4 linked regions of the Rhinolophus ferrumequinum genome follow. The protein of the gene in region 4 binds, or shares a complex with, the protein of the main gene of each other region. Links are inferred from orthologs where the notes say so. Each region holds a gene or a part of one and is shown on either strand. Other genes may lie near its edges. The genes, in order: LSM3, CRNKL1, LSM4 and SNRNP40.

What was found.
Region 1: SNRNP40 (region 4) and LSM3 share a complex: the UniProt entries of both Homo sapiens proteins name them as parts of the U4/U6-U5 tri-snRNP complex. The link is inferred for Rhinolophus ferrumequinum from reciprocal best matches to the Homo sapiens genes SNRNP40 and LSM3.
Region 2: SNRNP40 (region 4) and CRNKL1 share a complex: the UniProt entries of both Homo sapiens proteins name them as parts of the minor spliceosome. The link is inferred for Rhinolophus ferrumequinum from reciprocal best matches to the Homo sapiens genes SNRNP40 and CRNKL1.
Region 3: SNRNP40 (region 4) and LSM4 share a complex: the UniProt entries of both Homo sapiens proteins name them as parts of the U4/U6-U5 tri-snRNP complex. The link is inferred for Rhinolophus ferrumequinum from reciprocal best matches to the Homo sapiens genes SNRNP40 and LSM4.

Annotation. Positions count from the first base shown.
Region 1 is NC_046300.1:40,459,390-40,466,977, reverse strand, and holds the start of LSM3 (U6 snRNA-associated Sm-like protein LSm3), read right to left. Parts: upstream 3,016-7,588; 5' UTR 2,920-3,015; coding exon 2,899-2,919; intron 1,130-2,898; coding exon 1,019-1,129; intron 1-1,018. Other genes in the region: XPC (DNA repair protein complementing XP-C cells), read left to right, coding at 3,212-3,314. UniProt on the Homo sapiens protein: Plays a role in pre-mRNA splicing as component of the U4/U6-U5 tri-snRNP complex that is involved in spliceosome assembly, and as component of the precatalytic spliceosome (spliceosome B complex).
Region 2 is NC_046306.1:40,159,948-40,167,016, forward strand, and holds the start of CRNKL1 (crooked neck-like protein 1), read right to left. Parts: upstream 3,008-7,069; 5' UTR 2,899-3,007; coding exon 2,848-2,898; intron 1,134-2,847; coding exon 981-1,133; intron 34-980; coding exon 1-33. Other genes in the region: CFAP61 (cilia- and flagella-associated protein 61), read left to right, coding at 6,790-6,932. UniProt on the Homo sapiens protein: Involved in pre-mRNA splicing process. As a component of the minor spliceosome, involved in the splicing of U12-type introns in pre-mRNAs.
Region 3 is NC_046301.1:51,124,268-51,132,174, reverse strand, and holds the start of LSM4 (U6 snRNA-associated Sm-like protein LSm4), read left to right. Parts: upstream 1-4,887; 5' UTR 4,888-5,033; coding exon 5,034-5,036; intron 5,037-7,907. UniProt on the Homo sapiens protein: Plays a role in pre-mRNA splicing as component of the U4/U6-U5 tri-snRNP complex that is involved in spliceosome assembly, and as component of the precatalytic spliceosome (spliceosome B complex).
Region 4 is NC_046292.1:21,444,244-21,451,267, forward strand, and holds the start of SNRNP40 (U5 small nuclear ribonucleoprotein 40 kDa protein), read right to left. Parts: upstream 3,016-7,024; 5' UTR 2,967-3,015; coding exon 2,823-2,966; intron 616-2,822; coding exon 486-615; intron 1-485. UniProt on the Homo sapiens protein: Required for pre-mRNA splicing as component of the activated spliceosome. Component of the U5 small nuclear ribonucleoprotein (snRNP) complex and the U4/U6-U5 tri-snRNP complex, building blocks of the spliceosome.

The sequences.
Region 1 (7,588 bases), on a different chromosome or scaffold from region 4:
TAAAACAGGGATATTTAGTATCTACCCACAGAGGGTTGTTATAAAGATCAAAAGAGATGTGTATTACATACAAAACACTTAGACTAGTACCTGACATATAATTAATGCTCAATAAACTTTAATTATTTTTAACCTCTTTAGGGTAGAATGGCAGTAATAAAAACAACACACTCTGGAAAGCAACATGTTATCAAGAAGAGGCAAAACCTTCAATTACTCTTTTTATGAATAAATAGGACTACTTTAAAGGACCAATCCTATAGAAATATTTGCAGATGCACACAAAGAAATATGTATTAAATATGTATTAAAATGCTTACTGCAGTATTATTTATAGTAACAAAAAAATGGAAAACAATCTAAATATCACTATTACCATATAAAGAATTCTATGTAGTAATTAAAAAGAATAGAGAAGATCTATATGCACTCATGATCAATGATTTCCAAGATTCAGTGAAAAAGAAAAGTGCCCAAAAATATGTATAGCAAGATCCCATTTATTTTAGTGGTGGTATAGTGCAAATATATGCATATGGACACGTATTATAAATACATACGTGTAAATATACAGAAAATACCTTAAAAACCATAGACCCAATTTTTAACAGTGGTTACCAGTAGAAGAAATGGGATTTCACCTTTTACGGCATGTATTTCTGTGCTATTTAAGTTTTTTCACAAGAAAATACAAATTATGCATATGTCAGTAATTAAAAAAACACTTAAATAAGAATGGAGAATAAATGTTATCTGCAAATAAATAGAAGGGTAAAATATGAAAGAAATGAAAATGTTCTTTAATAAACACATTATTTCTGGTAAGAGAAAAAAATGTTAAAATATGAATAAAATAGAGTTGTATTTGTGTTATAGAAATATGGGTAGCTGCCACCTTCCTCTCTGCATTCCAAACACTGTTCCACAGTTGAGAGTTTTTACATTTCAAAGGCGTGGGAGTAGGGAGGGAAAACAAGGAAATAACCTGATTTCAAGGTAATTTAATAGATTTACTTACATGTAATCTACCTCGAAGCTCTCTGTCATTTCTCATTTTCACATAAATTCGCTCATCCAGGCTGAGCCTGATGAGATCCAGGGGTTCTTCTACGGTGTTGGTAGTTTGTTGCTGATTAAAAAAACAAGCTTAGTAATATAGTACTAGAGAGAGTGTAGTGTTTGAATCATTGCTACGCTGCATTGACTGTGAGCAAGTAACTTAACCCCTCTATGCTTTCCTTAGTCGTCTATCCAGTAAAATGTGGATAACAGTGCCTACTTAATACCATTGTTGTGAGGCTTAAGTGACATATGTGAAGGCTTAGAACAGTACCTGGCGCATAGTAAGCGCTATATAAACGAGAACTGAAAGAAACATACACAGGAAGGAGTTATACAGCAAAATAATCATGACTATACTTTGTTCCCTCAAAATCCAAGCTGCTTGACACAACTTCAGGACATAGGGAGTCACTCTCAGGGACGTTAGCCTTATCTCAAATATCATTTAGTAATCTGAATAACACTGACTTAATGACTACTACACAAGTCAGAACGCTAAGCAGAGATGAAAATGTGAAGGAAAATGAGTTCAGTACAGGGCACGCTGAGTTTAGGGTGCCGACTGGCCAATAAGATGAGTATACTCAGCAGGCAGTACAGAATACTGGCTGAAAGCACTGGCTTTGGAGTCCTGCAGCGTGCGTTCAAGGGAAAAAGTCCTGTCCTCAACTGGTCCCCAACCTCAGTTCAACAGCTGTTTGTTAAGGACCAGGTAACCAACTACTAGACTACAATGATACAGAAGTCAGCCTCTGCCCTCAAAGCAGCTCATTCTATTTGGGAGAAGCATATAAATCATTACAATACTGTAAGAATATACACGCTGACAGAGGCCTACTGCTCCTTTAGCCTGGGTCCTGAATGCTCTCTGTCTGCTTTTTTCATCCTATTCAGCTTTAAACATTGCCTTTTCAAAGAGGCCTCCCTGATCATCCAATTCATTCCCTCAATACCTAAATATCTGCCGAGTGGTTCCAGCACTGTTCTAAATCCACCCAGGGCAGAATAGTACACAAAACTCCTCGTAAGAAATTCACATTTTAGTTGGGGGACACAGACATTAAACAAAGCAGCATATACTTAATATGAACACATAACATGCTATGAAGAAAAATAAAACAAACTCGGGAGAGTGCTATTTTATGTAGCTGGCCAGAGAAGTCCTCTTTGATGAAGCGAGGCTTCAGTAGAAAGCTTGAGAAGTTGCGGCCTGATCACAACGATATCTGAGGAAGAGCATTTTGGGAAGAAGGAAGAGCAGGTGAGAAAGCCTGTAGGACCAGCAGTTATTCTGTATACCAGTTCCTTGCTCGTTTCCACATCCCAGTTCCTATATATCACACGTATTTATCTGTCCTCCCTCGCAATATAAGCTCCAAGTGGAGACAGGGATCACGTATGTCAATCCCTGTGACTCTGGTGCTTAGAACGGTGTGTAAACCATACAGAGTTGATGTTCACTACATGTTTATTGAATGAGTAATCATTGTTGCGGTCAAGTAATTGTTGCGCGATAATTACCGCGCTTTCTATCAGAATCCCGACAGCTCTGCGAGGCAGGCAGGGACAATTACTGCCATTCTATGGATAAAGGTGAGACTCAAGAGAAAGGAAGTGAGGAGCGGGAGGGGTAACTTAGTTTTCTGGCGGATTTGGAAGTAGAAAAGATCTCAGAGCCTGAGGCAAAATTAAAGGCCGTGACGACCCGGAAAGAGGCGACATGATAGGACACCGTCCCGTGAACTTGAAGAAAGCAGCCGGGTATGCAAAGCCGAACAGGGCCAGGGCGCGGAGTGGGGAAGCCGCTCTGGAGTGAGTTCCTCAGGGGACACTCACCTGGTCCACGTCGTCCGCCATGTTTCAAACCCTGCGCCTTTTCTCGCCTCTCGCGATATCACGCCCCTCCAGTCTCCGGAAACACGAGGACGCAATGCACCGGAAGTAGAAAAAAATTTGTTTTGCGTCTTCTTGCTTCCTGCAGTTTGCATTTGTCACTTGGGACTGGGACGGCGCTTCCTCTGGGGGCGTGTGCTTGGTCCATAAAGGAGGGGCGTGGTCATGCCTCTCCCCGCCTTGGGGTGTAGACCACGCGGGTGCAGCTTCCCGCGGTTTGGTGCGTCACTCGCGAAGCGAGCCCTCCCCGGGGTAGATGGCTCGGAGTCGCGCAGCCGGCAGGGAGCTGCGGGGACGCGAACTGCGCAGCCAGAAGGCCAAGGGCAAGAGCACGGCTGGGCGGCAGGAGAAGGAGGAGGGTGAGAGCGAGGCCGAGCCGTGTTTAGGGAGAGATGCTGAAAGAGATCCGGAAGCAGGCCCGGGTGCGGGGAGTGGGGGAGCCAGCTTCCTGGAGGTGGGGGGCGGAGACTGTTCCGCGCCGGTCTGCGCTGAGAAGACCACTTGACGGTGGCCAAGGGAAGCTGGCGTTTGTGCCGCTGCCCCGGTCCTCCCCGTCGCTGTGCCTTTGTTCTCACTCGAGGAGTGACGCACCCTGAGCGGTTCCCCTGGAGCCCAACTTGACCTGGAGCTCCCCTGCGTCGCCTCTTTCCTGCTCCCTGTGGCCCACAGGATAAAGTCCAACCTCCTGGTAGATGCGAAGGGCTAAACAGGGAAAAGACATTGTACTTGTTTTGTGTCCGTAGAAGAACAGAACGTAGTTTGTGGTGTGCTGACTCCCAGAATAGTATCTTCAGCTAAATCTCACCCCAGAGTTCCAGATTTGGATCCAACCCGACTTCACGTGGATATCGAATAGGCTTCTTATGTTTGTCATGTGCAAAGCAAGACTCTTGATTTTCCCCTTTCAACCTGCCTCTTCCCCACTTTTTCCCATCTCAGTAAATGATCCTTCCCCCACTTGTTTAAACAAACCAACCCCTCCTTTTCCATACACGAGCACATCCGTCCAATCCTTCAGCAAGTCCTGTCAGTTCATCCTCAGAAGTATAGCACATCTCTTCACTTCTCTTTATTTCCAAGGCCACAGCCCCTGCCCAAGCCACCATTACTTGAAACTTGAACGACTGCAGTTACCTTTTTATTGGTCTTCCCTTCCTTCCCCTGCAATAATTCTCCACCCAGCAGCCCAAGTGATCTTTCAAAACCAAAATCAGATCCTTCCATGCTCCTCCTTCAAACCCTCTGTGGTGTCCCATTGCTCGTGGCATAAAATCCAAATCCCTCATCATGGCCTACAAGATCCTACAGGATTTGGCTGTTGCTTCCTCCTTTTTGTCTCCTACCCCTCTTTTGTTTGCCAGATACTCTCCTTATTGGTCTCCTTTCTGTTCCTCACGCATGCCATGTTCTCACATTGAACCTTTGTGTTTGATGTTCTTTCTGCCTAGAATGTTCTTCCATGGTTCTTGGCTGTGGCTGATTCTTCTATTGTGCCCTAAGGTGTCCTTCACCAGGTGCTCTGTATCACAGAGGCCCTCACAGCTTCTGTCACAATCTGTAATGATCTTGTTAATTTCTTTGCTTCCTTTTTAATCACCCATCTTAATAGAATTTAAGCTTCATGAACGCATCTTATTTTTTTTGATGTATCCTCTCGTCTCCCCCCAGCATATACTAAGTGCTCAATAAGTATTTTAAGTAATTGTAAAATACTTGCTGTGGAGGGATTTTGGGGGTTCCTGAAATAATTGGGTAGTAGATTAGACTGGGTAACCAACAGGGCCTCCTATGACACTAGATTCAATGATTCTGTGATTCTGTACATATGACAAGGCAATCATCCATTAGGAAATAGTCAAAAGATAGCAATTTCTAAACTTAAAAGGTGATTTACTTCGCACTAATACTATGAGTTTCATTTAGTTCATTTACTCATTAAAATGACCTTTGAATATTTTTTGAGTATCTGGTTGGTGCTGTACATGAGCTAGGTAACGTGGGAGACAGAGATTTGAAGGAGCTTAGAATATAGTAGTGTTGACATTTACAAAAATTATCCAAGGCAGAGTGTGATATTGTGGGAGAAGGTACAGGGCTTTGTGGCTTCTGAAGAAATAATCAAGTTTGGCTGGAGAGCTTGGGAAATGCTCTCTGGAGGAGCTAGGTTTGATCTGTAACTTTAGGGATGGATAATATTTCAGCAAGAGGCCGTGAAAGGGGGTTAGTATTCTAGTCAGAAGGAATCTATTTTGTCTGAATATGTGGCAATTCAAAAATTAAAAGTTTTAATCTGATGGAAATGCCACCTGCTTGGGTAGCATTCCTTCTAGCTAAACACTTCACCTGGGCACCAGTTTGGTATAGCTCCAGCGCTCAGTTGTTATGTGCACTTGGGTAAATTATCCTGGACAGATAATTGAGCCATTCGAAACTTGATCTGTGAAACATAATCCTACCTTGCAGGGTGGTTGTGATTTTTCAGTGAGATAGTATGTAAAGTTCCTGGCATGGTCCATGTTAGGTAATCAGTTGGGCTAGTTCATATCAGTTCAGGCTAAATGGATGTCAGGATGCACCTAAGCTTCACTCAAACTCTGACAACCAGAGTAATTAAGTTCTCAGGGCAGCTTCCAAGATCTGAAGAGTTAGAATCTTTGTTGTGCTTTGGTGGAGGAACAAATGTAGTTTGAGCTGCGGGTGATACTAATTTGGTGACTTGTTTCTAACAGCGCAACAGTGTAGGTTTTGACATCACCTTAGTGCATGCAATGAAATGATAGTAGTGAACAAGACCGCAAGGTCCCTGCTCTCGTGGTCCTTATAATCTTTGGAGAGAGGTAGGTACATAGAACAGACAATAAATTAAAAATAAATTCACATGGTGATAAGAGCTATGAAGAAAGTAAAACAGATTACTGTAATAAAACTGACACGGAGGTGGGGAAGACGCAGCTAAGAATCAATGATCAGGGAAGGCCTCTGAGGAGGTGACAGTTTGAGCCAGTTACTGAATGTCCTGAAGGCACCATTCATAGGAGGTTCTGGGGGAAAAGAGTTCTCAGCAGAGGGAACAGTACATTTAAAGAGTCTTAGGAGGGAATGAGCTTGGCCAGTTGGCTTGACACAGTGAGTGAGTGAGGGGGCGAGTGGCAGGAATTGAGTTGAGAGAGGTGGGCAGGGCCCTTAGTTTGTATTTTATTTTAAGTGCTATGAGATGCTACTGGCAGGTTTAAGCAGGTGTTCTTATTAAATTTCAGTGGATGGCCAAGCAAACCACAGTAGTAATTCCTGCCCTACTGAAATAACCGCATTGAATTCAGAGCAGCTGGTTAGCCATGTTAGATAGCCCTAGATCTTGGAGAATCCTAGAAAATAGCCTCTAGATTCTCTGGGACAAAAAACACAGCAAAGAATAAAGAAAAAAAAGTCTATATTTCCATCATCCAGAAATAACCACCACTAAACAGTGGTATATTTCCTTCTAGTCTGTGTTCTTGTGTATAGTAGAAAACACTGTAAAAACCACTTTGCATGCTTAGCATTTTATCCTAGATCTTTTTCCTTTGTCTTAAAAGATGACTGAGTTATATTTCATTGTGTGACTGTACTGATTTAATGATTATCTCATGGTTGGACATTCTGATTTTTCTTTTTTTAATTATTTAATTTTTTAGTTACAGTTGACATTCAATATTATTTCGTTAGTTTCAGGTGTACATAATAATGGTTAGACATTTATATAATTTATGCAGTGATCCCCCAGTTAGTCTAGTACCCACCAGGCACTATACATAGTTATTACAATATTGTTGACTATATTCCCTCTGCTGTAGTTTACATCCCCTTGACTATTTCGTAACAACCAATTTGTACTTCTTAATCCTTTCATCCTTTTCACCCATTCCCCCACCCCCCCTTCCACCTGTGAATCATCAGTTGTCAGTAGTTAAGAGTTTATTTCTGTTTTGTTTGTTTATTTTGTTCTTTAGATTGCACAGATAAGTGAGATCATACGTATTTGTCTTCCTCTGTTTGACTTATTTCATTTAGCATTATACCTTCTAGATCCATCCATGTTGTTGCAAATGGTAACATTTTATTCCTTTTTATGGCTGAGTAATATTCCATTGTATATATGTACCACTCTTCTTTATCCAGTTGCCTATTGATGGGCACTTGGGTTGCTTCCATATCTTGGCTATTACTAGTAATGCTGCAGTGAACACAGGGGTGCATATATCTTTTGGAATTAGTGTTTTGGATTTCTTCAGATAAATACCCAGAAGTGGAATTGCTGGGTCATATGGTAGTTCTATTTTTAATTGTTTACGGAACCTCCAAAACCATTTTCCATAGTGGCTGTACCAGTTTGCAATCCCACCAACAGTGTACACAAAGGTTCTCTTTTTTCTGCATCCTCACCAACACTTGTTGGATTTATTGATGATGGCCATTCGGACAGGTGTGAGGTAATACCTCGTTGTGGTTTTCATTTGCATTTCTCTGGTGATTAGTGACATTCAGCATCTTTTCATATGTATTGGCCATCTGTATGATCTGTATGTCTTCTTTAGAGAAATGTCCACTCAGGTCTTCTGCCCATTTTTTAATTGTATTGTTTGTTTGTTTGTTT
Region 2 (7,069 bases), on a different chromosome or scaffold from region 4:
AGTCCTGTTTTTTCTTATGTTATCTTCAAAAGTCTGGTGGAAATCAAAACAGTCAAATTAAAGAGAAAATAACTAAAAATGACATCATCCTTTGTCTATTAATCCTTGTACTAAAAAGGTTACTCATTCTGTTCTTATTTAAGAGAAATTACACCCTGGAATCCTTAAGAAATAAGAAATCCACTACAGAAGGCTACAATCACAAGTGTTTCTTTAAAATCTTACATGCAAACAAGAGGGAAACTTTAGATATAAATATCTAAAAATAGATATAAAAGATTTAGAGAATTATTAGCAGAATTGTTGGTATTTACTTTTATTGCCCATAACAACTAACTGGTACTGTAATATACTCTACTTGTTCCTAGTAAGAAAACATTTTTGACTAAATCTTTTTGGTAATGTCTCATACATAATTCATTGTAATTATGTCATTTCATACATAATTCATTGAAGATAACTAATAAGTAGATATAGCAGGATTAGTGGTTTAAAATAATCACACATTTTAGTGTAAGAAGGTCAACTCAGATCCTCAGTCTTCTCATGGATCTTTCCCATCTTAATTCTTAACAGAGAGGACAGTATAGACAGAATCATTAACACAGTCTTGCTAAGTCCACCCCTCTTCCAGCTGTCAGTTGTTCCACCTGTTTAACTTCCACCCATCTTTGATTCAGCACCAGGAATTATATTTTGGATGGACTTAATTTCTTTATATTCTAAAATAGACAACTCATGGTATATTTCATAAAGTTCAGTAAAATGCAGTTATCTGGTAACCCGAAGTTATATTATTTATGTGGCTAGAAACACTAACCTCTTGTCATCTTATAGTCTCTCTAACCCATGAAGAACTTTTCAAACTCTGACCTATAATTTTTTTTTTACATTAGTTTCCAGTGTACAACATAATGCAATAGTTATAACCTATAAATTCTTAACATTATAACATAATGAAAGACATCACATTGACGGACCTTCCTTTTCCTTAGTTTGTAATCATTTAACTCTTCTTCATCTGTGATCTTCTGTTGAGGTGGAGGTGGAAGAAGCTCAAGTTCTCTTTCTTTAGCTTCTCTTAAGAGCTGTTCGGCAGTTATCTGTACCTCAGCTGGAGCTTTGTTTTTTACCTTTTAAAAAAAGATGTTTCTATTTTTAGGAGATGCCTTTCACACAAGATTTAAGAAACAAACAAAATTTTTTTAGGATGAGAACTTTATATGTATTATTACAAACTGCCCCTTTGTGTGACATGTTCCCATTTCTCTGTGCAACTAAACAGAAAAAAAAATGTCTTCTATTTAATGCATATCTATTACAAAACCACAGGTAAAAGTCTCAAGAAAAAAGGTAGCAAAAATAGCAAATTTTCCCTTTTAACTTAGTAAAATAAAAAACTTTGAGGCTGCCTAGGAAAAAAAGCTCACCAAAGGTTTTGCTTTATAAAGATGTATTCCATATCTTATCAAGCATTACAATCTCTACTCAGAATTAATGACCCAGGTGGATGAATGCATTTGGTTTTTCATGGCATTTTAAGTCAAAGACAATATTCGGTAAGTTCCCCTCATCAGACTATAAGCTTCTTGAGGTCTTAGAGCTGTGCAGTCTAACATGGTAGCCAGGAGCCACATGTGGCGAGTCCAAATTGAGATGGGCTGTAAGTGTAAAACACAGTAGATTTTGAAGACTTAGTATGAGGGAAAGAATAAACTACCTAATTTTTTTGTATTGATTACATGGTGGAATGACAATATCTTTGATAAACTGAGTTATTAAATAAAATATATAATTAAAATTAATGTCCCTTGCTAATGACTTTTTAATGTAGCTATCAGAAAAAAATTACAGGGGCTGCCGGTGGGCTCAGTTGGTTAGAGTTGAGCTCTGAACAATAGGGTTGCCAGTTCGATTCCCACATGGGCCAGTGAGCTGCTCCCTCCATAACTAGATTGAAGGACAATGACTTGGAGCTGATGGGCCCTGGAGAAACACATTGTTCCCCAATATAATTTTTAAAAAAGAGGAAAAAAACCTTAAATTACATATGTGGCTCACATTATATTTCTACTGGACCAATACAATTTTATGGAGTGGAATTACAAGAAATATTATTTAGTGCTACATGTGGAAAGATGATGATAATGCCGGTAGCTCATAGCCGATGAGCATTAAGTACCAGACAGCAGGCTGTGTGCTTTATATGTATTACGTCTGGGAGTCATCTAAATGGACATGGGCAGGAAAAACAGACTGAAAGGAGAGGATCAATAAAGGCGTAGAACAAAGCCTGTTACACATAAAATACTTGGTAAGTATCAGCCACCTATGTCACTCTCCACGGGCTAATTCCTACTCAGCCTTTAAGTCTCAGCTTAAATGTCACTTCCTCAGCAAAGCTGACTCTGGAGACGCCCTCACCCCCCCCCCCCCCATTATTCCGGGGCCCCTTCTACTTGGCTTTAGCAGCATTTGGCAAGGTTGCAGTTTTACACTGCTGTCTCATTGTGTACAGCCCGTCACCCGCATGAGAGTGTGAGCTCCGCCTCGCTTAGCCGACAGCCTGGCTCAGGTATTTTTGCTGAATGAATGACCCCACTCTTACACCCACCCGAATCCCCCAAAAACACCTACCCAGCACGAAGGCCACGCCGCTGCGGGCAATACTCCGGGTGACAAGGGCCTGCGCCCCACCACCGGCTATCCCGTTCCCTCTCTCTCCCCCTCGGCCCGGCACGGGGTGGGCCTGCTCCTCAGACAACACTCTCCGGCCCGGGTACCATGGAGGCTGGTGCGAGCCCCTCTCCCAGGCCCCTTCCCCCAAGCACACTCGCTATCACTTACCTTGGCCACTTTGGGAATTCTCTGCTTCCCGGCCGCGGTAGAGGCCGCCATGGCTGCAGCAGAAGACGTCGGGCGAACCCTGGACCCCAAATATCGAGCCTAAGGGCTCGCCGACGCCCCAAAGCTTTCTGATAACAAGCGGGATTCGGGGCCGGAAGCGGAACTGGCTTGATGACCTTTGACCTCACGCACTCGCCGTGACCGAGGGAGCGCCGTTTCTGTGGTAACTCGCCTGCGCGTCCTCTTTAGAGTCGGGTGTGGAGCGCGGCGTCAGGAGTCTGAGTTTGAGGTGGGTAGAGTCGGCCTGCCCCGCAGGAACGCGAGAACTGGGTCCAGGGAGTTAGGGCGCATCTCCAGGTCAGTCTCCGGGACTGTGATGACCGCGCGAGGTGGGGTGGATCTGCCTAGCCGTGGCGTCCGGCCGAGGGTGTAAGAACCACGCTGTGATCTGGACGCTGGAGGGCGGGGGAAGAGAGGCCGGCCCGAAAACTACTACTGTTCCCTGCGTGCCAGTGGGCGAGCTGCTGAGCTCCTAAGCTGCCCGCGCTGCGTTGCATTCTAGGCCTTGTAGTTTCTGAGGTCCACTGCCCTTCGTTTCTGGACAGCTGTGACCAAATAATTAACTACAGGGTTTATAATTAAAAAAAACCTGAAAGTATTTTAAAGCCAGATAAGACAAAAATAAAAATAAATCAGTAGACTACTAGCAGACCAGCCAGCCTTCTTGTCAGATAAACAGATGTTTAAATTCTCTGAGTGTGCCTTAATTACATAAATTCTCTTGGCCTCAATATCTTGAATTGTAAGGTGATGATAATAATATCTATTTCACCAGGATTAAAGAGAAAATCTATGTAAAGCGCTCAGTAAATGTTAGGTGATATAATTCTTGACCTGCCTTCAAAAACAGAAAAATTAATTATGTGCAAGCAAATGGTTAAGAGAATTAAAAAGAAAAAAACTATTTCTTAGAGAAATTTTATGTTATGCATATTTTACCACAATAAAAAAAGACAGGATTTCAGCCTTGTTTGTAAAGTTATATGTTTTCGCAATGAGAATGCATTCTGCATTGAGAAGGTATAATGAAGAATGCATTATAGTGCATTGCTGTGTAAAAATAATTTTAAAAAATTAAATGTCAAGAAAGAATGACATTAGGGTTAGAATGTGAAATCAACTCATTGCAGCTGCGCTAGGTAAAGCCATCTTAGAAAGGAAATGCTAGCAAGTGATCAAAACTTGACTGCAAATTGATTAAAGGTATATTTGTTTATCTAGGAAAGGAAGTGTCTGTCACAAAGGGGATGGATTGGCCCTGTGGTCATAACAAAATAGAGATGTTTAGGCAAACATCTGTGAAGATGCCACCCAAGCATAGCCTGTCTCTGATTTTTGTGGCCTGGCATCTCTACAGTGGGTGAGGGCCCCTCAGGCTTCAGGGCTGGTGAGCGACTTCTTGAGGTTCACTATTTTGAATCCTGAGAATGTAATGCTCAATAAAATGATTTTAATGGTTGCTGATATGTACTGAGTGAGCACTTAACTATGTCAGACACAGCTTTTAGCATTTTATACATAACTCATTTATAAAACTCTTCGAGGTATATATATTATCTCTAATTTACAGATGAGGAAACTGAGGAACTGAGAGTTTTGGTAATTTGCCCAATGTCACAGCTAATAAGGGATAGAAGGTGGTTGTCATCCCTGGTACTCTGATTCCACATCCTATGCTCTTAACCATGGCCCCATGTAAGCCACCTTCTGAGAGCTGGGCTTTCTGTGTAGCTGGTCCACAGAGATGGCATGGGTGGCTCTGCCACAGCAGGAATGGAAGCTAAACCAGCTTAAATAAATGTTTATTTATATCTGCAGAGTGTGAAGAAGAATTTTGAGCCAATATTTCAAATTTGGGGGATGTTATGTAAACAGCATGCTTTTCTTCCTTTGCAAAATGTGAAGATCTGCCATTCTAAGACCACATTTCCAGAAGGCAACATCTGGCTGGAACGAGACTAGCCTGAGTTCCCCATTTCACTGCAGTCACCTTGATACCAAGGTTGCGAGATTGTGGCCACATAGCTCATGGGAGGTGGAGAAATAATTCCCTTCTACCCTGTTAAGGAGAGGAAGTCAGACTTGTACTTAACCCACATGACTTATTTGTTAACTATCTGGGCTACAGAAACACCTGGACTGCCCCCCATTGACTTTCTCTTTGTAAATTAATAAATTGACATTTTGTACTTGTTCTTTCAGTTTCTGTGAGCTTGGATAATGTAGGGCCATTCCCCAGAGCTGGGTTTGCTTTGAGCATGTTGATGAAACCCGTTTATAAGCCTGCAAAGATGAGGATGGTGTTAATTCACCAAGACAGGGTCCACTGGATGAAATTTCTGGATGCCATCTGCCACCTTTGCGAATCCTCCTGTGTTACCCTGCACTTTACACCCTTAACATCTGAAGGTTTACAACCATTTAAGCTGTAGTTCATCCGAACATCAGTGGACAATGAGGGCAGGGGAACTTCTTATCCATAGAGCCAACCTGCAGGTTACTTACACAGATGGGAGTGGTAAGGGGCTGGGCTGGAAGGAGAAGTCCAAGGTTCTGTTTCTGACCAAACATCTGTCCTGAGACAAGACACTTCACCTTGTGGGCTTCAGTTTCCTCATCTGACAAAGGAGAAACTCAGTTCAGAGATGTCTCAGGCCCCTACGGCACTCAAGTTTTTTGGTACTTTGGCAAAATGAAAATCATGCAAGGATATATCTAAACAACAACAAAAAGCCAAAAGATATATTGTGTTTTGAAAGAAAACTATATATACTGCATGATTCCATGTATATGATGTTCAAAAATTGGCAAAGATCATCTATGGGATAGAAGTCAGAATACAGTTACCTTTTGCAGGAGCGAATTGACTGGGTGGTGCTAAGCGGCATTCTTCCAGGGTGCTGGAAATGTTTCAGATTGTTCTTAGACTCAATATCATGGTGAAAAATTAATTTGCCTGCTTTGAGCTCACTAGCAAGTACATAATAAGGTGTTTTTCCCTAGAAAAAAGGAAAGGAGGGAAATGGAAGGAAGGGAGGGAGAGATGGAGGAAGGGAGGAAGGAAGGAAAGAAAAGAAAAGAGAGAGAGAGGGAGACACACACACACACACACACACACACACACACACACACACTAAGACATTGAGAGAGAGTGAAATCATTTTGTGGCCTACTGTTCCTGTCAACAGCATTCCCCGAAGTGTCTTTCTCGAATATTAGTCTCTCCACTGTCGCTGTCATTAGAGATTCTCCTCAGAAAGGGAGTGAGAAAGGCTGAGTTACACCAAGAAAGCAGGTACTTCTTAGGGAACTTCTCAAAGACTTTATGGACATTACGGCCCCTCAGGAACACCATCATAAGCAGCATTTCCTATGCTTATTTGACCACAGAACGTTTTTTTCCTCAAAATATCTCTTAGGACTGCTGCCCTTCAGGATTCCAGTTTGGGGAACTATTTGGAACGTGGGCAGCAGCTGTCAGTATTTCCCCTGTAACTCTTGACCACATGCCTAGGTGGCTGTTTAAATATAAGAGGACCCCTGAGTCAGTAAACAATTCCTTTCAATGTTTTTTAATTCTATTGTTAGAATACTTGAAAGCAGCTTTATTGGAAACAAAGAATACAGTTGCAGAAACTTCTAGACAAGCCAGTTCTCAGAAGCATCATTCCCCTGGAGAGAAACATGTCAGCTGGTTTGTAGTGTCAGTTGTCATAGCCTACCCCCAGGGGAAAATGTGTGCCACCAGCACTCTAACACCAAGTTCACTTTGATGTATGGAAATTGAATTAATATCCAATTTTGTAAATACTGTAACCAGACTGGCTTGTCATCTCAGATTAACAGTGGGCTTTTTTCTGTCTTTTTGGGACAGGATAGAAAATGTCAATACTCACTTCTCCAAGAGGAAAGGTAGAAGTGGTTCATTGCCGAAGAACAGAATCGCAGGATGTTTATTGTATCAAAAACCTCATTAGACAATTTACCCAGAAGCTGTTTGGACAGCTTAATATCATTTATCTTCTGTAAGTACATAGCTAAGTAAGCTCAAGAATGTTTATCAGTTTTAACACACATCTGGAAGGGACCCCACTCCTTTGTCCTTTACGGGGCTTATGGCAAGGAATGCGCAACAAGAAAATCTGCCCTCCTGAGCAGGAGA
Region 3 (7,907 bases), on a different chromosome or scaffold from region 4:
CTATCCATCCATCCATCAGTGGGCAATTGGGTTGCTTCCACCTTTTGGCTATTGTGAATAATGCTGCTATGAGCATTGATGTGCTAATATCTTTTAGAGACCATGCTTGCAGTTCTTTTGGCCACTCAACTTTTGTAACTTTTTTTGGAAATAGTTTAAGACTGACACAAAGTTGCAAAAAAGTAGTACAGTTTCCCTGAACCCTTAACTCTGCTTCCCCCAGCGAAATGGTCTATCTTACTAACTAACCACTGTCAAAACCAGGAAATTGACATTAAAACAATGTAATGGACTCAGGTACCACCGCTGCTTTCCCAGAGTTTTGAAACCAAGACATTTCATATGTAAAGAACTGTTCCTTTTAAATTTTTTATGAATTTTCTTAGTGAGAGAATGGAGGGCGGCAAGTATGGTGTTTAGAGCCAGCTGGCCTGAGTTCAAATTCTGCCTGGCTCATCACATGGTGCGTACTCTTAGATGAGTTATTTTCCCATTCCAAGCCTCTGTTTCCTCAACTGTAAAATGGGGATTAAATAGTGCTGCAAGCTTTTTATATTGGAATAAGTTCAGATCTACAGAAAACTTGCAAAGACAGTACAGAAACTCCCCTATGCCCCTTACCCAGCTTCCCGGAATAAGAAGATCTTATCAGATGCATTTGTACAAGAAATTGACCTGGGTACATTGTTTTTAACCAACCTCCTGATGTTGTCTGGATGTCACCAGTTCTTCCACTCATGTCCTCTCCCTGTTCGTAGACTCTGTAGAAGGAATCCCGAGTTACATGTAGTCATCACGTCTCCCCAGTCCTCTTTTGTCTGGGATGGCTCTTAGGTCTTTCCTTGTTCATGATCTTAGTCTTGGAGAGAGCTGGCCAGGCGTTCTGCAGAATGCCCTCCATGCTGGTCTGTCTGATATTCCTGCCATGATTAGAATGGGGTTATGGGTGTTTGGGGAAGACCACAGAGGTGAGATGCCCTTCTCATCTCATATTATCAGGCAGGGATCCCTGATAGCCACGACTTATCACCAAGATAAAATCTGGATCACTTGGTTCAGGTGATGAATCCTGGGGCTGCCATAACAAATGACCACAAACTTGGTGGCTTGAAACAACATAAATGGATTCTCTTCAAGTTCAGGAGGGAAGAAGTCCAAAATCAAGTGTCAGCAGGGCCACGTTCCCTCTGGGGACTCTAGGGGAGGATCTTTCATGGTCTCTTCCAGCTTCTGGGGGCGCCTGGTGTTCCTTAGCGAGTGGCTGTATCACTCCAATCTCTGCTTCTGTCTTCTCTGTGTCTCAAATCTCCCTCTGCCTTTCTCTTAGAAGGACACCAGTCATTGGATTTTGGCTCTATCCTAAATCCCAGACATCTCTTCTCATGGTCCTTAACTTAATTACATCTGAAAGGACTCTTTTTCCAAATAAGGTCACATTCACAGGTTCTGGGGGTTAGTACTTGGACATATCTTTAGGGGGTCACCCTCGACTCACTACATGTGGTATCTGCCAGGTCTCTCTACCATTTAAGTCTCTATCAAGTTACTTTTTTCCTCTTTCTCTATTCTTTAGAAGTGAGTCACTGAGTCCATCTTTGGGGGTTTTGGGGGGAGGATTTACATATAATTCTTTTTTAAAGTGTGTTGTCCAGGACCCATCAGCTCCAAGTCAGGTAGTTGTTTTAATCTCGTTGTGGAGGGTGCAGCTCACAGCGGCCCTTGCGGGGATCAAACTGGCAACCTTGGTGTTATGAGCACCGCGCTCTAACCAACTGAGCTAACCGGCCGCCCCTACATATAATTTTTAATGAATGAAAAATATTCTGTCTAGTGGATGAACCATGTTTTACTCAACCAGTTCACCGCTGTCAGACCTTTATGTTCTTTCTGCTATTTTAGAATTGGCAACATTGCTGCAAGACCTCGGCAGAGTGGTTCCCTTCATTTGCAAGACCTCAGTATAAATGTTCAGAAAAGGGCAGGACAATTTTATGGGCTTTGAGACATAATGCCAATTTTTCCCCCACTTAAAAGGAAATATATATTAACTGGTTTCACTACAACCTTGCCCTATTTTCTTTTTTTTTAGTGAAGGGTAGGGTAGTTTTTTGAGTGTGATAGGTACATTAGTCCTCATTCTTTACATTTCTGCTGTCAGAAACACAATTGAAACTGGAATTTAAAAAATAGTATTAGTACAAGGGATAGGTAAAGATAGGATTTATGAAGCATCGGATACAACTGGATCCAGGATTAAACAGGGCCAAGACTCGGAGGTGGAGAGATGGCCATTTCTGTACCTGACAAACATTACCCCAGCTCTGCAATTCCAGCATCATCCCAGGGAAGCCTTCTGATTGGTTAAGCCTGGGTCATGTGTCCATGATGAGGGGGGAGGAGGAAATATGCTCAAACTGCCTCAAATAGTGGCCCATACAACCTCTCATGTTTTTAGCTCCTACATGTCAGAATCCAGAAGGCCTAAGTGTGCAAATGAGCAATTACAATGTGGCACAAATTGGGTAATGATGAAAATCAGTGCAAGGTACTGAAGTTCAAAGTATAAGAGAGGGAATGATTTGATTTGGGGGGTCAGCCATTGAAGAGTTCATGGAGTAGCTATGCGTTAGTGCAGGTTATGACACCTGCCAGAGACAGAGTCCAAACTCTAAGTGGATTAAGCAACAAAGGACAACTTCTTGGACTCATATAAGTGGAAAGTCAGATCTAATGGTTTCAGGTATAGCTGGATCCAGGGGTTCAAACCATGCATCCCTGTCCACTGAGTAGCTCTTATGTATGTTGGATTCTTGTGTATACTGGATCCTGATGGCACTGGGCTTACACTTTCTCACTTGTAAATCTATTTCACTAAATAGGAATATCTCACTATTTCATCATCTCACTTTTAACAACCTCCATGGAAACCACTCTTCTCCCTCCCAGCCCTCAGTATCCTTCTCAAGGGAGATTCTAATTAGCCCTGGTTGGTCACATGCTATCAATTTAACCAATCACTACGGTCAGGGGGACAGAAAACTCTGATTGGCCATCTCTATGTAGAAAGGACTGACAAAAACAGAAGTTACCAGAATCCACCACAAGGGGTCACCCAAGCAGAGTTTTCAAGGATAAATAGGAGTTTGCCAGTTGGGCAAAAAGAAAAAGCCTCTGCACATAGAAAAATCTAGAAAAGTCAGAAAGGGGTGAACCAGCACAAGATTTTCTTCCTACTTCCACCACCATATTAGTGAGGGGACATATCCTGTACCCAATTTCCGTTGTTTACATCAAGTGGCCTTTACCCTGGACAAACAAGCCTTGGCTGGTCATCCTGATCCCTCTAACCCAATTATCACATCACTGTTGGGTTGGCCACTTACCAGCGTCCTGCACACATCCCAGGCCTTGCCAGCTTCCCTGGGAGCAGCCCTGAGCTGATGACAGATGGGACTTAGAGAATAAATGCCCCAGCTGCCCTGACCACGGATGGGGCCATGATGAAACATGAGTTCTTATGCTTCTCCCTGAGGTCCCCAGCTGGACAGACCCCCAGTTGCCTTTTGCACCACCTACCCTTTGGTGCCCCCTGCAGGGATCCTTCCCTCCCTGTGTCAGGTCTTCACCCCCAATGGGGGCTTCCAGGAGTCACCCGCTATGTACACTTTGTGCCCTTGAGTCCTCATCTCAGGATCTGGTTTCTGGGGGAGGGAGTGACCCCAAACTAAGACATGAAGGACAACTGTTGGTCCTGGAGTAATGGGTGCCTTGTACTTTATCTGGGTTCCACATTTGATCAATCCACACAGTAACTGGTTATAAAGATATGTCCTAACATAACGTGTAAGTTCTAAGTCCCGGTACCTGTGACTATGACCTTATTTGAAATAAGATCTTCGCAGATGTAATTAAGGATCTTGAGATGACATTATTCTGTATTTAGAGTGCGTCTATTAAGAGAAAGGAGTATCCTTATAATAGAAAGCAGAGGAAGATTTAGACAGACACAGACAACACCATGTGAAGACAGAGACAGAGATTGGAGTGATGTGTCTACAAGCCAAAGAACTACAAGAATTGCCAACAACTAGCAAAAGCCTATGGGCCTGGGCTGAATTGTTCCTCAGAACCTTCTATAGGAACCAACACTGCTGACAATTTCGATTTCAGATTTCTGAATTAAGTTCTATTGTTTTAAGCCATCCCGTTTGAGGTAATTTGTTACAGCAGCCCAAGGAAACTGATACATATGCCTATTTATTTTGTTTACTGTCTGTCGCCCCAAAGGGCTCCTAAGCCTGAGGAGGGCCAGCTTTGTCAGGTTTGTACACTTGTGTTTCTAAGAGCAGGCACATAGTAGGTGCTCAATAAATATTTATTGCACGCTTGTGCATTAAGTGCTTAGTATGTGCCAGACGCTGTCCGAAGTGCTTTCACACAGCTTAAATCGTCTCATCCTTACTGCAACCTTCTAAAGCAGACACTATCATTACATCCATTTTACAGAAGGGCAAACTAAGGATCAGAGGAGCATAGTCTAGATTCCAATTTACCAAAAGACGTGCCTTAGACAGGGATCAACTACAATAATGAGAATCAGAAGAGTAGGAGCCCGAAGTTACTTCCTAATAACCACTAAGCCTCAGTTTCTACATTTGCAAGCTGCAAAAAATAATCAGCTTTGCCCACAGCGTGGAGCCCAGAAGAGCTGTTTCACTTGCGCATGCGCCCTTACCCACAGGCTTTCGGCCCCGTTGCACGTCGCTCTGCCTCCCTTTTGCAGCACTCACTGCGGCACTTTACGGCTTTCCCCATATTCTTGGCAGAAACACGGCCCGCACCGCCCCTTGTGCTTAGCAGGCCCCGCCCTACTCCTCGGGGATTAGTTGCCAGTCCCTTTAGCCCCGTGCTGACTGGTTCGCGTTGCTGCCACTCCAGTTTAGCCTAGTGGCGCGCGGCGGTTCGGCTACTGGCGGGCGCGTGAGCGGCGGCGGCGTCGGAAGTGGCCGGCGTGCCCAGTCCCCGCCGATACCATGGTGAGGGCAGGACGATGGCAAGGTGTCGCCGGGAAGCAGGGGATGCGGCCATTGAAGGCTGTTGGGGCGGGCGCTGGGGCAGGGGCTACGCGGACCGAGCGTGCAATCCGGGCCTGATTCCTGCCCCTCGGCCTGAGGCGGGGAAACTGAGGCCGAAGAGGGCGGGAGGGGGCTCTCTCAGGCACCCAGTCTCTGGGAACTTAGAGTTGGTATCAGTATAGCGGCCTAGCTGCAGTCTTCCCATTTTGCAAACGAGGAAACAGGCCGGAGCAGGTGGGGCCCGGTGAATGCAGCAGAGTGAGTTTTCGGGCAGGGAAGTGGCCCCGAGCGCGTCCTATCCAGTCTAATCTCATGTTTGAAAGCTGGAGCGCCAGCAAGTAGGGGCCCGCCTGAGTTCTCAAATTAAGCCAATTTGGGGGATTTCAGGGTTTGCAAGGCTCCTAGAATGTTAGCACAACCCCCTATGACTGTCGTTTTCAGGCTGAAAACAGACGCAGAGAGGGGGTTTGCTTCTTTGGATCACACAGCGTGTCATTCATTCCAGTGGGAAAGGGGGCTTTTTGAGCCAGGAGTGCACTAACTGCCCCCTTCCAGTTCACAGAAGGAAAACTTGAGGCCCTGACAGAAAGCCTCCAAGGCCAAACCGCTCACACATCGTGGAAGTTCTGGATCTAGGCCAGAGTGACCATGCCCCGGTGTGTAGACAAGGAAATGGAGGCCCCCACAGAGGGATTCAAAGTTGGGTCTCCTGGAATTGCGCCTGGCCGGTCAGCACTTGAGTCCCTTTGACAGGGTTGCCGCATGTTTCTGAGAGCCAGGGGTTGGTGAGGTTTCCTGCTAGCTCCTGCTGGCTGGATCCCTCTGCTGGAGGGCAAAGTGGGCCTGAGGGAACGACTGGACGGAGCTTTGTTAAGCTCCATGGAGGCCAGAGCTTTGTTTACCCCTGATAGAGTCCCAGAGTATAGAACAGAGCCTGTGCAAAGTACAGACTCGTTTCTTTAATCCGAAGAGTGTCCACCAGTGGACCAGGCATGACACACCCTTCGTGCCCACCAGTGGACAAGGCATGCTCACACAGCAGGGCGGGAAGCAGGGGTCACGGTGTGTATGTGGGTGTGATCATTGACAGTTTCCTGAATTGGGAGCGTCAGGAAACCTTTGGGTCTAGTCCTGGATTGAGCCAGACCTGAGAACCAGACCCCAGACCTTGTGAGAAAGCCCAGAGAAAGGAATCCTGTTTCCTGAAGCTTTTCTGACTTTCCCAACTCCACAGGGTCTTGGGAAAGATCCCATCTCCCCTGAACTGGGTGTCCGGCCCGCTCCTGTTTCCCTTGATCCCTTCACACGTCTTCTTCCTCTTCCCCACCAAGTTTTAAGTTTTCGGGGATCCTCCCCTTCCTCTTTTCTGTCTCCCGCCCAGTTTGGGGATGATAGTATAGAAGAAGGCAAGACATGGCCACTGCTCCACGCTGCTGCATCTGTGGAGAGCTATCCGGATGCCACCTCTCCAGCCTCTCCTTTCCTTCTTTGTGGGGTGGGGCGAGCATCCCACCCACCCCATGTACCTCCCTAGGCAGTGCGTGCGTTTCCCTCATGTATTTGTTCAGCAAATATTTACCAAGTCCCTCTCGTGTGTGTGGCCTCATGCTGGGCGCTGGACAAAGTCCACACCTTTTGAGTTTTCCAGTCTAGCAGGAGGCGTGGTGTTTCAAGTCTAGCCAGGGAGACAAGTAAACAAGATAATTAGAGACTGGCTGCGTCCTATAATGGAAACAGCAGAGGGTGGCCCAGGTGGAAACCTCATTCCTTCGATGGGGTTATGAGGACCTGGCCAAAGGAGGTGACATTTGAGGAACGACCAGCCTGCGGAAGGGAAGTGTAGGAACAAAGGTTGGGCGGCAGGACTGGATGGGCATGGTGTGTGAGGAGCAGCGTAGGCCCGTTTGCTGGACCTGGTCAGGCCTGGCCTGGTAGCCCGTCTGGGGAGTGTGTGCCAGGCAAGTCAGGGGAGGGGTGGGAGCAGGTGCTGCTGCCTTCTGCGTTTCAGATGTCCTGTCCGCTGCTTTGTGGATAGGGAATTGCCAGGACCCAAGGAGGCCGTGGGTCCTCCAGGGCGGTGCTGCCAGTAGCTGGGATGAGGTGGTAGCCTGAGAGGCTGTCGCTAGCATAGAGATTGTGAATGCCATAAAAGGACATCAGTGGTCCCCTGCTGACAAGCATCAGCCTACTTTCACCGGCTTTACCAGGACCTTGCTCTGTGTCCTTGGGCCGATCTCTCTACCTCTCTGCGCTGAGTCCATCTTCATTCTCACCTTCCAGGGCTAGCCTGACTCTGTGCCCTCTGTTGATGTAGGAGGAGGACCCGAGTGTCTCATCACCTTGGGCTTGATTCCCACTGCCCAGGAAAGCCCAAAGTTTCTCCACAGTAAAAGGCGACCTGGGTGCATGGCCCTGCATGCGGGTCTGAGCCTCCAGTTTTTCCTGTGCAGCCTAGGCGCAGAGTCACACAGGCGTACCCAAAGGAGAGGGCCGGAGCTGCAGGTTGGTCCTCGTTGGGGTCCCAGTCTGCCCACCCACCCGCCCTCCTTGGAGCAGCTGCCTCTTCTCCACATGGCCCCTTCTTCCTCCTTATCTTGCCCTTCCAGGAAGCCAGTGCAGGAAGCAGGCTTGGGCCTGGTTTCCTATCGGCGCTGGACCTCCCCTGGTGACCTCTCAGGGAAGGCCTGTGGGAAATGGGACCTGTCCCCGCCCAACAAGCCGTTCATGGGGAACCACCCTGTAGGTGTTGAGGACCATTTCTGACCTCCACTGGAGAGGCTTTCCAGTTCCACCCCGTGGAGAAACAGCTGGCCGGGATTGTGACAGTAGTGC
Region 4 (7,024 bases):
ATTCCTTACTAGTAGCTAAGCACCTGGCAGCAGATCCTAATGATGTACCGGTAGGTTATCCAAGTTGAACTGCCACTTTAGGATTTTCTCCTTCCTTCCCATATGCTAAGATTCTGAGTGGATCAAGAAGACAGCCTCCCACCTTCGGGGAAAGGAAGTTATCTCTCTCCTCAATACTCCCATTAGCCAGTTAAGCCTAGATTTCTTATTTTGCTAAATCAGCTCCAGATTTGCCTCCATGAGGAAGATATTCTCAAAGGAGAGCCACTCACTTCCCAACTAATAACATAACTCCTATATTTACCACACAGACCCTGAGTTTTACAACCAAACTCAGTCAGCATTTTTACAACCCTATTTTAGCGTGCTAGCCACCAGCTTATGTGACCAACTCAGACTGACACCTTCTGTGGCACCAAAGGTTTTAAAAAATAACCGCTATTTGGCAGACAGCGATTATTCAAGATTCAAAAACTATGTCTTACATATCAGTCGGTCAAATCCTGCAGATGCTAAGGTGGATCCATTGGGGTGAAACTTGCAGCAGTATACTTCCCCTTCATGTCCTGAGAGAAGCATGATTGGAGCTTGAAGGGAAGAACATCTTGGAGGCCCCTAAGCAAAAAAGAGACATACAGGGTAGTCACTGCATCGAGGCAAAGGAGGCCGCAAAATTGGGGAGTGGGGGGTGGTGGTGGTGGTGGAGGGAAGACAAGGGAAATGAGTGAGTGGATTTCTCCTGATTTAGAGAACTATAACTCTTCTCACGTAACTTATGCCTCCCATATGATATTTTCCTGCTGAAGTGTCCAGTGTCTGCCTGTTACATTAACTTTCCGCCTCCCTCACTTTGCTCCTGTCCCATAGCCAAGTTTCAATTGCTTATTCATGTTAAACTCATTTCTGTCTCAGGGTCTTTACACTCGTTGTTGCCCTTGACAGGAATCCTCTTCCCCGAGAGCTTCCTGCATTTGGCGGCTTTCAAATGTTTCCTGTTCAGAGAGTCTTTCCTTGATCACTCAAACTCTATCAGTACCCCACCTCTACTCTGTGTTCCACTAACACTCACAAAGCTTACCATTACCTGAAATTACCCTCCTTCTGTATTTGTTTACATATTTTCTTTTCCCCCACTAGAAAAGCTCTGTGAATGCAGGGATCCTGCCTGTGTCATTCACCAGTTTTCCCAAGTTCTAGCTCATTTAGTGAATGAACGATTGAACTGAGCTTCCCAACATCCTTCAGCGTATAGCTTATTGTAGAAAGCCCTTTTGATTATGGTGTTAACACTAAGGCTAAGCTTGGGCAATACACTGACACCTGGGCTGGTATTTTTACTTGTCAGATAAACAACTACATTTCAAAACCCCCCAACTTGTCAGTAGTTTCCAGCTTACTCTTTATTAAAAAAACACAATGTGCCAGGCACTATCCTAGACACTGGGAAAACAGTATTGATCAAAAGAAACAATCGAGTTTGTGTTCTAGTTAGGGAAGCAGAAAGAGAAGGAGGGAGAGAGAGAGAAAACAAGTAAAACATATAGGTGGTGGTATATGTTATGAACAAAAACAACAGGCAGCAATCTGGGTTAGTGAGTACGGGATGCTGCAATTTAAAATAGGGTAGTCAGTAAAGCCCTCGCTAAAAAAGTGATATTTGAATGAAGATTTGGAGGAGCTAAGTGTGTAAACCATGCGGACATCTGGAAGAAGAGCATTCCAGTAGAGAGAACAGCAAATGCAATGGTTTTGAGGCAGGAACACAGAAGCCAGTGTGATTGGAGCAAGGGTGAGCAATGGAAAATTGGTAGATCAAAAAGGCAAAGGGGGCAAAAGATTTTAAAGATTTTGGTTTTACACTAAGTGAAGTGGAAAGCCACCAAAAGTTTTCAGCAGAGGGTAACATAGTTTGACATTTAGAAGGATTCCTCTGACTGCTGGATTGAGAATAGGTTGACCATACAAGAGCAGAAAACAAGAATACAAGTTAGGACCCTATTTGCTGTCATGCCAGGTGAGATAATAATGGCTTAGATCAGGAGTCAGTGATGGAGGTGGTAGAAGTGGTAGCAATTCTGGATATATTTTGAGGATGCCAGCAGAAATTTGCTGACCCACTATTTGAAGCGTTGAGAGAGAAGATACTTATTTCTTTATCTGAGTCTAATAGCACAGGAGAGGTGTGACACTACGTCTATCTCACAAGAAATGTAGTAAAGAGCATGGGTTATAATTTAAAATCTTTTACTACATTGTTTTTCCATCTACAAATGGGATAACAGTTCCTAACTCTTAGGCCAAGAGTAATGGAGTTTTCATTAAAAAAGTACTTAGTACAAGGTCTCAATGAATGTTGACTGTTCTTAGGCTGTTAATAGTGCAGAGAAATAAAGGGAAAAGCAACTTGCTCAAAGTTCCAAAGCGAGCCAGTATCATTCATGTCCTTCCTTCACTCATTCATTCATTATTTCATTCACCCATCCACTCTACAAACTTTTATGAATGCTTGTTTACTCGAAGCAGAATCTCTGGAAGATTTAGGATGCAAAAACCCCAGTCCCGATTTTGAGCTCAAGATCCTTAACTTGAATTCTAACGCCACCTCACAGGATGGTCGAGACACTGAAAACAGTGTAACGTATGGAGCATTCACAGGGTGTCCGCCGCTTTTACAGTTTTTCTGCTTTAACTCCAGGTAGAAATCCTCGTTCCGCCCCGCAGTGCGGAGGAGAGGGCAGGTGCGGGATCACCCGATCCCGATGCTGGAGAAAGGAGCGAGGAAGATGAGCTGAGGGCCGACGGCCGCCTGCTACTTCACTCACCGCTTGCAGCAAAGCTCCGGGCGCCGCCTGCTGCTGACCCGCTCCGGGGCCCGACCCCGCTGCTCCCAACAGCAACTCATGCCGCTGCCGCTTGACTGGAACCAGCGGCAACTCTGGGCCCTTGCGCTTCTGTTGTTCTATCATGGCGGCACCCACTATCCCCAGCCCCGCCGCAGACCGCGCCGACAAGCTCAGACACCGCACGATTGGTTCGGACTTAGTCTTTCCCTTAGAACTTCCGGCTTGGAGAAGCCAATTGGCTTCCAATATTCCCCTCTGCACCGCCCTCTGGATAGTCTCTTGTTATTGGTCAGTTCTTTCTGATGTCATGGGATTACGATTCTGGGATTGGCGAATGGAGCTGGAGTCCCGCCTGGGCGCGCTGTGTCTTGTGGGTGGAAGCGCGCTGACTGGGTTTTGGCGTTTCGCGCAATGCTGCGGTCGGGAGACCTGCAGCTGACGCTGGGTAAGTGTATAAGGGGTATGTGAGGTGGGTAGCTGCGGCATCTGGAGGCGGTGCCTGGGTTGTGTGGTCGGAACCTGGCATTTCTCAAATGAAGGTTTGATTGCTAGGGGGAGAGGCAGGCTCAGAGATCCTATCCGGTTTGTAGCCCCTGGGTTCCCTTTCTAGACTGGAGCCGAGCTGTGGGGTCTCTGCGGTTGCCTGAGGCCCTCGACGGCTGACTTCATCAAGCGCCTACTCCGTCCAGCCCTGTGCCAGGCGCTCCCAGGGAGAAGAGGCCTGTACCCAGCCTCCCCTAGGGTCCTGTCTGACTGAGGAGGCTGCCTGGTTTCTGCCACTGATTCTGCAGCGTTTTGCTAGGGTCTGCTCTGTGCCCCTGCGAGAGACAGATGAAGGAGATGTCTGACTCCTGCCTCTCCAGAGCCCGGTCTTGTTGAGAAATTTCGACTCATACCCTTCTTAATCGCCCAACTGATAATTATTGTGCAAAGCGTTGAGAATACATTGGGAACCAGACATGGCCCCTGACCTCAGGGGTTTGAGGCCAATGGGGAAAACATGTTAAACAACAATCTCACCAAGAAATGTACAAATTAAGTGCGACCTAGGAGAGGTGCACACTGGATCGGATGATGTTATGAGTGCCTGAAATAATCAGGGAGGCTTCTCTGAGGAAAAGATGCCTGAATTGATACCTAAGGAAGACTTCTAATTAATGAGGTGAAGAGAGGAAGGCAGAATATTCCCTATAGAACAGCATGGGCAGAGGCCCTGCGACAAATGGAAAGAAAATGACTAAAAAGCATAGAGGCCAGTGTGACCGATCCAAAGAGAATGAAGGGGAGTATGGTACAAGATGACGCTGGAGACAGGTAGCGGTCAGGTCTTTCAGGACTTTGTAGCTTTTGCTATAAAACTGATGGGAAACCACTGCGGGTTTTTCTGTTTTTGATGGACAGTGGGTGGTGTGATGGGGGAGGGGCCTTGATCCCTCAGGCTCAGTAGTGTGAACAGATGGAAGAGAGAGAGATGCAGACAGACCACTTAGGTGAGAGTTGTTGGCAATGAGGAGTGACGTATTGGAACTGCAAAGCATTGGACAGTTTCTAGAGGTATATAAGAAGTAAAATCAGTAGAACTTGGTGACGGATTGACTCGGAGTGAAAGAGGACTCAAATGTAACTTCTAGGTTTCTGGCTTCTTCAACTGGATAGTTTTGTTTGTTGTTATTGTTTTGGCAGGGGAAGGGAGAGTTTGTTCACCACATCCTGGAGGCAGTTTGAAATACGGCTTTGGAACTCAGAAGAGAGACTTTTGTTGGAAATACAAATTTGGGAGTAATTTGCCTATAGGTGATAATTGAGCCACAGGTGTGGGTAAGATCACCCAAGCTAGAACCTTGAGTAGTTCTAACATTTCATGGCCAAGAACAGGAGCATGAACCTACGAGAGAGAGAGAAGAAAGAGCTAAGGAGGAGGATCAGAGATGGATGCTGTCTCCGAAGCAAAGAAGTGGTCTGTGTCAGAAACTCCTGAAATTGAAATAACATGAGAATTGAAAAAAATATGTTGGCTCTATCATCATGGAGCTCATGGTATCCTTAGGAAGAGTTATTTTGTTGGTGTGATGGGGCCAGAAGCCAGATATGAGGCAAAGATGTAGGCAAGGACGTGGAGGCAGTGAATCTGTGAATCTAGAGAGTATTTTTCATACATATGATTATAAAGGAGAGGAGAGGATACGGAAGCGGAAGAAGATGAGGGGTCACCAAGGATTGAATTGAGAGAGTGATGGAGAAACTGAATATGCAAGAGAGAAATTGGTTCACGGGTCGTGTTCTGAGAACATAGGAATGGATGGGATCCCAAGGACAGTTAACGGGAGTAGCCTTAGGAAGAGAAATAGTTTCTCCATGTAACAGAAAGAAACAAGGAAATGTAGGCAATAGATACAGGTTATTTGTATGTTTGGTATTGGTAAAATGAGTTCTTTTCTCATAGCTTTTATTTTCTCAGTAAAGGAAGAGGGAATTACATACTTCGAGTGGGATGAGGTCAGGCATTTGAGAAGACTGCAGATTTGGAAATCATTGTAGAATGTGAGAGAATGCATTTACCAGAGAAATCAGGGATTGTCTTTCAGCATTAAGGACCCATTTTAAGTTAGAGATCATAATTTTTTAACAGCACTATCAGGCTATTTCATGCAGGCATGGAAAAAAACATCCAAGTATGGCAGGGACTGTGGATTTGGTTTGCTTAACACACATGCCCATCTCTAATGTGCCTTCTCTTGCTGAAAAGTCTGGGACACTAGAAATGATCTGGACTCCTTTGCACCTAAAATGAGAATTGAATGTGAAAACTAGTTAAATATGGAGAGGAGAGTGGCATCCAGTTTTGCTGGCAAATATAGCAGAGACAGTGAGTTTCTCTAGTCAACAGCTTTCCGGTTTAGTGACATTCTGCAATGATAGCCATGACTTTCTTGATTGTGGCAAAGACTGTTATTTGGGGGATTAGGAGTTGTTTCTGGAAGTTCTACCAGCGCCTGCCCCTGTGGCCCTTCCAGTAATTTTGTAAGCCACATAATACCTGGCTGTAAATCCCTTTCTCCTTAACCTAGCTAAAATGGATTCTGATGTTTGCAATTCTACTCCACCAGCGTAAGTGTTTTGCCATATAGGCAAACTGTAAAGACAGTTAAAGGAATGTCACAGTATTGTTTGAATGATGGAGTGTGGAATCTAAGCTGGATAGGGAGGAAAGTGAAGAAAAAGGAGAGGGCTGATAGATTGGAAGAAAACAGACGACACTAGATGAGGGTTCTAATGAGGTCAAATAACAATAGTCTCTGCTAAGAGGACTCCCACTTATTCTTCAAGGACTGCTCAGTTGTCACCTTGTAAACGTCCCGGCTTCACCCCAGGCCCTTCTTCTCTTTCTTGTTTTCTTAGTATTTGGAACTTAGCCACTATTTTAGCACTGATCATACCGTGTTGTAATTGGTCACCATTATTCCTACCAGATTAGGAAGTCTGAGTACAGGGATTGTGTTGAAAAGGATGGTTTATAGGCAAGTGTATATAGCCCTTGGAATGGCCTAAAATTTGTCTCTTTCTAGCTGTGAGTTTTGGACAAGTTACTTCATCCCTGTAATTCAGGGACACCCTACTTTGTGGAGTTGTTTTTAGGATTGAAAGTAGGTTTATGAAGTGCTTATTAGCATGGGGCCTGACATATAACCGTCAGTAAATGTGCTGAATTGATGAATTAACTAACAATGTAAAATAGGGTAAAATTCAGTGCTTCAGTATTTCCGTAAACAGTTACGAATTTCTGTGTGCTTTACACTGCTAAGCACTGGAGATTTGAAGAATATGCTGCCAAGACAAGGGCATGCTCAGAAGATTTCATAATCTAGAAAGGGAAGAAAAAAATGTTTGTAAATTGGATTTGAATCTCATCTGCATCATTCATAGTTTTGTAATTATGAGTAAGTTACTTAGCCTTGCTTATGTCTTAGTTTCTTCATCTGTAAAATGGCAATAATAATTGCCTCTCTCATAGGGTGGTCAAAACGGGAATTAGTTAAGACAAATAAAGCTCTTAGGTTAATACATGGCCTATGGGAAGTACTCGAATATTGGCCATTATTATTAGAGGACTTGGAAGGGGCCTTCAGGGTTAGTGACTGAAAGAATAGGATGGCGTGGAAGAGTAAGTACTGGTCTTGGGG